Linked DNA regions of Drosophila melanogaster. Changing the gene in region 1 together with any one later gene gives a genetic interaction. Each region holds a gene or a part of one and is shown on either strand. Other genes may lie near its edges.

What was found.
Region 2: of Ephrin (region 1) and meigo, changing one suppresses a phenotype caused by changing the other (phenotypic suppression), as found in Drosophila melanogaster (one study listed by BioGRID).

What each region holds. Positions count from the first base shown.
Region 1 is NC_004353.4:569,758-574,951, forward strand, and holds the start of Ephrin (ephrin), read left to right. Parts: upstream 1-1,997; 5' UTR 1,998-2,414; intron 2,415-3,855; 5' UTR 3,856-3,991; coding exon 3,992-4,671; intron 4,672-5,194. Other genes in the region: ND-49 (NADH dehydrogenase (ubiquinone) 49 kDa subunit), read right to left, coding at 218-419, 477-586, 652-776, 847-938.
Region 2 is NT_033777.3:21,136,331-21,140,970, forward strand, and holds meigo (medial glomeruli), read left to right. Parts: upstream 1-1,939; 5' UTR 1,940-2,158; intron 2,159-2,224; 5' UTR 2,225-2,530; coding exon 2,531-2,735; intron 2,736-2,787; coding exon 2,788-3,249; intron 3,250-3,359; coding exon 3,360-3,709; 3' UTR 3,710-4,035; downstream 4,036-4,640. Other genes in the region: Usp8 (ubiquitin specific protease 8), read left to right, coding at 385-615, 679-1,133, 1,190-1,520. UniProt on the Drosophila melanogaster protein: Probable sugar transporter.

The DNA.
Region 1 (5,194 bases):
ATAATTTTAATAATCAAACCCAAATTTAAAATATTTTTTTTTTGGTAATCAAAAATTAAATAGAACTTTTAAAAAGATTTTGTTGCGTAAGATTTATGGCGATGGTGACAATGCTAAATTATAATATATATATACATATATTAAAAAAGCGAAACTATTGAAATCTTCTTAATGACTACAAAGTCAAGAGCAAGAGAAAATTACTTTGTATTCTTACTTCGAATGTACTTAGCACGGAGAGGCACATCAATATTAAGGAGTTTTTCTACAGCCAGAGAGTAGCATTGCTCGTTGCACATCATCGAGACGTAGTCCAGCCGGTCAAAATACGGCAATGCCTGGGTGTATGTCTTGTACTCTATGAGCTTTTCGGTCCCACGGTGCAGCAGCCCAATATGCGGATCGGCACGCATAACGGTCTGCAATAACAGAGGTTTTAATTTACACAAGACCTGTGGTCGATTAACAGCTTAAACCTCTCCATCCAGCTCCAGCACAAGACGAAGGACTCCGTGGGCGGCGGGATGTTGTGGGCCGAAGTTCAAGGTCAGATTACGCACCGACTTTTCGACAGGCGTTACTTTGCCTAGTAGAGGAGGTAAGTCAAGCGATTAGTTCAAGGGTCAGTTTAATATTGGGTTACCAACTAACTGTTCCATGGTGGCACTGTCCAAAGTGATGTGACCTCGTCTGGATACATCACCGGGCCGCTAAACTGCTTCATGAACTCAGGGTCTGGATACCACTTGGCTGCTCCCCGTCGCGTCTCCTGAGAACTAAACAACGAGTTTCCAATTGGACAAATATAAATGATATATTCGAATTATGTAAGCATTTACTATTTACGTTAACGCGGCCGATCCAGCTGCAACAAGTTGTGGCCGCAGCCTCAAGTGTGAAAGTCCAGGAATCAACGTTCTTCTCATTATATTGGCCATCCTGATAGTCAAATTCCTCTATTTATGTTTCTTTAGTAACAATTCAGGAATCTAATACAACCAAATAGTTATCCGCAATCGGAATTCTATCCAAAAAATATCGAAAATTACTTTAAACACCGAATCTCGTACAGCTTATATACTATTTACACCAATAATATATCGCAGGTTGTTGCTTCATGAAAATGAAGTGCAAAACACATAAATTCCCTTATATATATTACACACTTTGTCATCCTGCTCGTTTACCCAAGTTTTTATTTATCTTTATATAATGTTATAAACAATAATTGCAATTAATTTTTCGAAGACCTGAATTTTACATCATCCCAATGAAGCGAATTTTGCGTTAATGGAGCACTATAAAAATATAATTACTAGAGATAATAATGATAGCTTCTGCAAGGCTAAACTTATATATCTTAGCAGTATCTCAGCAGAGCGAATGTGGACATTTAATGACTAAAAACAACGAAACTATTTAAATTCTTTAATTAACAATTGATTTCTGGACTTTTCGTCCGATGACTAAACTTAAGAAAACAAAATTATGAAAACTCTTTTAACTTGAACAAAAATTTTATGCAGTCAAGAACCGGTGCTAAGAGATAGTAACGTAAAAACGGATGATCGGACAGACGGTAGTGCTGACTCGGCTCTTGATACTGACCATATATATATTTACTTCAAATTCTTAACTCTTTCACTGGGTTTCAAACTTCTTACACCAATCAAAATAGGTTCGACACGGGTAATAGATAAATTTTAATAATTATAAAATTATTCTTAAAACATAAAATAGTGCTTAAGCCTAGCTAAAAAATTTACTAGGAACTTACATAATGGTTCTGCTACAACAAATGTCAAATAAAATCTTTATAAGACAGTTTCCTATCAATATGGTATGGTTTTTACTGTGAATATTACTTATAGTAGAAATTCGCATATGTTAAATTCAAAAAAAAAAAAAAAAACCAAACCATTTGACTTATATTATAAGATTATACGGGCCTTTGGAAAAAAATCGCTATCGATTGATTTGTAAAATTATCGATGCCCTTAAGTTTCTTTATACATCGAAAGTTAAAGTAAACATCGTTTTTTGTTCCAGCTCTAAACAAGTTTTTTTTATAGCTCTAGCTCTACAGTATTTATATAAATAATTCTTGTATGTAGTCCAAGTGTAGAAAAAACTAATTTAAATGAGCTGTTTTCGAGTATTTCTCTTCAGACAAAAACCTGTTTGGAACAATTTTTAATCATGTGAAAATGTAATTTTGAAAAAGATGTACCAAAAAAGGAAGACGGTGTTATGGGCATATATGTATATTTTGTGTTTTTATATGTCAACTATGTTATACCAACATATTTGTACCGGATTGTTAATCGTATCGAATAAGAATGTTTCCCCGAGAGTAAGATGTTTGTGTATATATAGAGTTTCTTCTGTCTCCTCGGAGAGTGTGTCGTCACTGTGTATGTATACAGAAATGTCTTTTGGTGTATACATACATATGTAATTGTATAATGCTGTTGGGATGTTTTATCACTTAAACATACAATTTTTAAGAAATATATTGATTGTTCCGTTATAAATTGAATGTCAAGAACTGCAGATCCGCTATATATTGTTGATCTTATGCCATGTTGATTGTTTATGACTATGAATGTTAAAAAATATATTAATATTTCGCCAAGCCATTACCAACCCTGTTTGTATAGAAAATGTACCATACATGTATTAAAATGTAGTATCCCACTTAAATTGATAATTGGTTTGCCGGCCTGTTAAATAAGTATTTTTGATCAATCAGGGTCGAATCAAATCAATTAGGCGGTTTCCAAAGTTAAAGCGAAGTACTTTTAAAAATCTCGTAATCTGTCAGGTGGCGGTAGTCAACATATAAATATTGTTGATCAGCATTAACAGCTGCTTATTTCGCCGACTGCCGCCGAACGCGGCGCAAACAGGATCCCTCAGTCTTAGGCTGTTTGTTTTAAAGATCAACTTGTATAAACTTTACATAAAAATATAAATACGCATAATATGCTACTGTTACATTAAAATGTTAACGCGTAATGATCTCAAAGCTTAGAATGAGTAGATATAATATGTAGTTAGATTTTGCAATGGGTAAACTAATTTCAGTCAGGATTGTCAACGAAGTAAAGGAGGAAATGTCAATAGAAGAACACATATTCTTGATCAGTTTACACAGCCATGTCGATATATTTTTTGTCTTTCTTTCCGTTTGCCAAACGACCTTCGAATTGAAGGTTGAAATCCTTTTATTTTGTAGTTCATATACATATACGGGTCGAAAAAGAATGCCGTTAAAGTATTGTTTCTTTTTTAACTGCCTAGTAAACTTTTTGACGAGATAAATTGAAAAGTATAATTCCGCTCTAAAAAAGTCGGGTTAAATTTTCTAAGAACCCTAGGTATTATATCAATTTCATTTTCAGTATCAAAATTTAATCTTGAAGAGGTGAAAACTAAGTCTACGTTAAAAAGAATACTAGACCTAAATCACAGATGAAAAAGAAACAATAATTTAACGGCCTTTTCAATTTAATTTTTTCGGATTGTTCCTATATATGCATATATATTTATATAGTGATATATATGCACAAAAGTTGTATTATTTAACTATTGTCATCAAAAATTAAATTGCACCTGACTTTATAACGCACTACATATAATTTACTCATTTATAAGAAATCTTTTAAAGGGTAAAGTAAACAACCAAACCGCATAGTAGTCTTTAGTCTGTTGGTGCGCTTCGTAACTATACCGTCCAAAGTGAGAAAATCATGTTACAAGTTACACTGCAGTTTCAGTGTTTTTTTTTTATGCCCAGAATTCGTACACGGCTACAGCGTTTTGTTGTAAAAATTGTTATTTTATTGATTGCAGATGGAGCAAGACACTTTGGTGCGGAATGACACAGATGTAGATGTAGCCAGTCAACATATTCTTATTTCGGAGGTTTATTGTATGCATTTAGCAAGAAAGCTACTAACGATCTAACATCGAAAACATTGCTGGCGGTATGCAAGAACGATCAAAGCAACTGCGTCTTACTGTTTCCTGGACCCAGTCAAAGTCTCAGATTCATGACAGTTGTCAACGTCGGAGCATGTTGGCATGTAAGAGGCGCTTAACTACCAGTAAAGTGCTTGAAGACTCACATCCACCAGTAGCTTTCCCCAATTGCAAATCTCACCGGCATCAGCAACAAAAGGAGAAACATAAAGTTCAGCTATACTCTGGAAAACCTTTAAGCATTAAGCTGTACGTGCCAGGAAGTATTGAGAGTATCCCAAAAATTCGACATAAGGCGCTTACGACAACGAATAAACAGCAACCAGCTATGCATCGAAAGTCTAAGAGCAAAAGCAAGTTTCAAGGTTTTAACAATCTCAAGCCGCTTTATTCACCGAGTAAAAGACAACCACCCGAGAAGCATTCATCAGTACTGGTGGAAGCAGGGATAGAATCAAAGGCATCACGGCATTTTGTTGGTAAAAAGAGGATTAAGAACAGAAACTGTTTGTTATCTTCGCCTCAGCCATCGCCAATGAGATGCAAAATGATGATTCCATTTCCAAAGTTTGGTGCCACATCCTTTGTTACGTTGCTCACTTTAATTTGTATGGAAACTGTTTTGCTCTCCACCATGTCTAGTTGCGCCAAGACTTTTTACATGCATTGGAACACATCGAACAGTATGTAAGTACTCAAATATAGTGGTATACTTAAGCAGCGGTATTATAATTTTATTGAAGTTAAAAATTGTAGATTTTTATTTTTCTCTACAAATGTATTATGTTTTATTACAATTATTACAGTTTTTAAGTCAGTAGTATGAGGATTATTATTATTCGTTTAGGGGATTTGTTATTTCAAATAAAATTTTCTTTCCAATAATAAGACTGCTGGCCAATAATATATTGATAAATTAATCCCTAATGTCGCGTATAAACACGCTGGGCTTTTATAAACTTTCCCAGCAATTAGTAATGCACATGAGTCATTTTCGATAGAATAACTATTGTCATAATTTGTTGTGCAAGTGAGCAGACGATGATTAGGCGATCCCATTGATCCCTAAGGATCATGATTAGTAACTTTTTTGGTAATCGCATCAGGGCATATATGGCCTACTCATTTTGTCTGGTTTTCTCTTTCTCGATATAAACATATCCATATCATCTATACCATCCATATTGCAATGGGACATTAAGTTTGTTAG
Region 2 (4,640 bases), on another chromosome or scaffold:
GGTAGTGGTGGTTGACTCACTGGCCACATAAATATAGCCGCGACACGAGTCAAATCAATAGCCAGCGGGTCACGTTTTGAAGACACCCGCCCAGACGTGCGCCGTTCTTGGTGCGCTTTCTACCCCCACTCTCAGTCGCTCGACGTCCGCACTCAAAGCATGTTCAAACCAAAGAAACGTACAATTGCCATACTGTTAAGCAGGAATAGCATTATACAGGATTCCGCGAATGATTTGTGTAGCGGGCGTGAGGCTCCAGCTGCCAACAGCTCCGCCCACCTACAGCATTTATAGCTCCATCTTTCCGCTGAGACGAGTAATAGCTATAGATTTTATTTTCCTCTATCTCCGAATAGTTAACTATATCCTTGGATAACATTTCAGGGTCGTGGACTGACTGGACTGAAGAATCTGGGCAACACCTGCTATATGAACAGCATACTGCAGTGCCTGAGCAACACGCCTCAGTTGACCGAGTACTGCATTTCGGACAAATACAAGAATTACATCAGCAGAAGCAACAAGACTAATGGCCAGGTGATCGAAGAGGTGGCTGCACTCATCAAGGAGCTCTGGAATGGACAGTACAAGTGTGTGGCCAGCCGAGATTTGAGGGTATGCAACTGAAAAAAAAAAAACACCCAAATTTCTTTCTAAACTAAACATACTTCATTGCAGTACGTTGTGGGCCAGTACCAGAAGATCTTCCGCGGCGTTGACCAGCAGGACTCACACGAATTCCTCACCATCCTGATGGACTGGCTGCACTCGGATCTCCAGACCCTACATGTGCCCCGTCAGCGGGAGATGATCAGTGCGTCGGAAAAGGCTTGGCTGGAATTTACCAAGGCGAAGGAGAGCATGATTCTGCATTTATTCTATGGCCAAATGAAGAGCACTGTGAAATGTGTGGCCTGCCACAAGGAGTCCGCCACGTACGAGAGTTTTTCTAATCTCAGCCTGGAGCTGCCGCCAAACTCGAATGTATGTCAGCTGAACCAGTGCATGGACATGTACTTCAGTGGAGAAAGGATCCATGGCTGGAATTGTCCTAGTTGTAAAACGAAAAGAGATGCCATCAAGAAGCTGGATATATCGAAGCTGCCACCTGTGCTGGTGGTGCATCTTAAGCGGTAAGTGATGCTAACACTATGCTATGCTTGTTTATAATTTCTTAAATCCCGCATAGCTTCTATGCGGATCCCAGTAACTCTGGCTCGTACATGAAGAAGCAGAACTACTTGCGCTTCCCGCTCGAGAACTTGGACATGAATCCCTACATAGCACGGGCGGAATCGCGGGCGGTAACACCTAAGACCTACCAGCTGTACGCCGTATCCAATCACTACGGCACCATGGAAGGCGGGCACTACACGGCATTTTGCAAGAGCGCCAACTACGGAAAATGGTTCAAGTTCGACGATCAGGTCGTCTCGGCGTTGGACTCCTCTAACGTGGTTTCTAGCGCTGCATACATTCTTTTCTACACCTGGCTGCCACCCATGCAGGTGCCTCTGTAGACGCTTCGCTCGGTTTCCTTTCGGTTTTTACCCCTTTCGTTTTAATTGTTTTTTGTTTTTCTCTCATATTATAGCTTTTAAGGTCTAGTCGCCACACCCTTTTATCATTTACAAATTACCGCTTAACTGTTAACTGCTATTTAAGAGGATAATCGCTTGTTTGTTGTTGTCTAGGCTCTTAGAACAGTATTACGCGTGGGCGTATTTTCAATGGGTGCAGGCTGCATTCACTAAAACCAAGAACTTCAAGTGCATTACCAGTGTAACAAAGAGAAGCCCGCATATACGCCTGTGTATGCGGGACTATAGTTTATTGTATTTTGCAAATATATTTTAAAACCAAATAAACGAAATTCAATTTCTGATACAAAGAATTTCTTTGAAAGAATCATGCGTAGGGTTTTTAGAAAACAAATTGGGGAGAGCGGGTATTTTACACTCAACAAATAATATAAAAAAGGGGGTGAAAGTTATTTTACCATTGCAAAGAAAAATTCAGCTAATTTTCGCGCCGAAAAGTTCAATTCGAGATATCCGATAAGTAAATATATTCACTTCCAACTAACGGTCACACTGTAAAACGCCCCCGCTCTTTAGCAAATGCAGTGTTGCCAACTCTTGCTTTCAATAAATAGCTAGTTAGTTGATTTATCAATTATTACATTTATAGTGTTTTATGTATGCCCTATTTTTCATTTATAAAGAGTTATGATTTAAACTTATTAAATAAGATGATGAAATTGATGATTCAAAAGAAGAACATAGCTATAACAGTGCACCTAAAAAATGGCCAAAAATACAGGTGCTTGCAATCACTTAATCTAATCTGGCTAGTAGCCAGCTAAAGCGGCAGCACCGACCACGTATTTGATTGGATTATTTGATAGTCAACGCCAAATCACGGCACTGCAGCCGCGACTCCAGAGAATGCCAACTGTTTAGGATCGTGCATTAAGTCCGACTTAACCAATTCGCAAGTCACACGCTTTAAAAACCGTCATCTGCCCGCCATGAATCTGCCGGAACGCAGCCGTTTTGTGATCTACGCCGTCGGTATCTTCGTATGCTACTTCTTGTACGGAATTGTCCAGGAGAAGTTGACGCGGGGCCGCTACGGCGAGGAGGTACAGACAGATGGATCCGTGGGAGAGCGCTTCACTTACGCCTTGGCCCTTGTTTGGGTGCAGTGCCTCTGCAACTATGTGTTTGCCAAGGGTAAGGATTACGTGGACTTGTAACGAATCAATTCTGATCTGTGGTCTTCCAGTGCTGCTGACCATTAGGCCGCAAAAGGAGGACACCACCAACGCGGGCTCCTACGTGGCCTGTTCGCTGACCTATCTTCTGGCCATGGTCTCCACCAATATGGCCATGCGCTGGGTTCCCTATCCCACTGCTGTGGTGGGTAAATCCGCCAAGCCCATCCCCGTCATGATCCTGGGCGTGCTGATTGGTCGCAAATCCTACAGCTGGACGCGCTATGCTTGCGTATTGACCATTGTCCTGGGAGTTATTCTCTTTATGTACAAGGAGGGCAAGGTGTCCAATTTGCCGGCTGAGACCACGCTTCTCGGCGAGGTGCTGCTCTTCCTCAGTTTGTCAATGGACGGATTGACTGGAGCCGTTCAGGAACGCATCCGAGCGGCCAGCGCGCCTTCCGGTCAGCAGATGATGAGGGCCATGAACTTCTGGAGCACCCTGATGCTTGGCGTTGCCATGGTATTTACAGGTGAGTGTTAAAAACACTTTATTTGAGCTAAAAATATTGGCTAAGACCTTTTTATGTAAGCCCCATACGTTTTTATAAATGTTCTGAAAAACTATAAAAAAAATCTTCAGGTGAGGCCAAGGAATTCATGTACTTCACCATCCGACATCCCGAGGCGTGGACCCATTTATCGCTGATAGCTGTGTGCGGCGTGCTCGGTCAGTTCTTCATCTTTCTGATGGTGGCCAGCTTTGGACCTCTGGCCTGCTCCGTGGTTACGACGACGCGAAAGTTCTTTACCGTCCTGTGCTCCGTTCTGCTGTTCGGAAACGTCCTGATTGCCCGCCAGTGGCTTGGAGCTGTCCTGGTGTTCGCCGCACTCTTTGTGGACATGCTGTACGGCAAGAAGGCGCCACTGGCTACGGCCAAAAAGCCGCCAGTCGAGGGAAAGCTATCCGAGGAAAAGAAACTGAATTCGTAGAATTTGATAGATGATTGCATAGCCCTATGTACTGTACATACACAAATTAAGAAGACAATGCTTCCGGCTCGAGCGGCTGCAGCGCCAAAGTTTCCCCATTTCCTAGAACTGCTTATCGTACAAAGGATTCTAGCTATAGCGAACACAGCATTCGATACTTGATCTGCAACCCATAGACCGTCGTTTAAGTTAATTAAATTATTGATATCTATTAGAAAAGGAACAAATATTGTGCAAAAGTTTACACCAGACCTGCGGGTCTCTAACATACAGGATCATTCAATCATTTAATGCTACAATTTATAATTAAAACGTGCTCTTTTATTAATGGTTGTATTATTTATATGGAACGTTACTAAGAAGGCCTAACAAAGGCAACTTATTTTCTGGCTCAGTTTAATAAATATTTTCCCATTTTTTTTTGTATTTTCTTTAACTTGAATTTAAAGCGCTTAAATCAGAGCTGCCACCTTACACGAAATGTGAACTACGTTCATAGGCAAAAGTAAGATGCTATGAAACTCGAGTTCCAAGATAAAATATCAATTTCGTGTTATACTGAAATAAGATTTAATATTGTGTTAGCTACTATATAAACCGTAATAATATGAAAAAAAGACTACACAAATTAGTTGTATCGATACCGCGACGAATCAATTGGCAACAATCGATAGGATCACTTTGCCGACCCTGGCAACTCTAGTTTATTGCCGTAGCCGTTGCAGATACGGTCGAAATTTTCAGAATGTTTTTAAAATGTATAAATCCAGTGTGCGCAATGCTAATTATACAATAAACTAATCGGGACGAAAATTTCCGAAAAATAAAAGAACGCATGTTTCGAGTTTCGGAACGGAACGGAAGGAAACACAAACGCGAAATTAAGCGAAAGTTGGAAAAAGGATATGCCCAGTATTAGCGGGAAAATGCA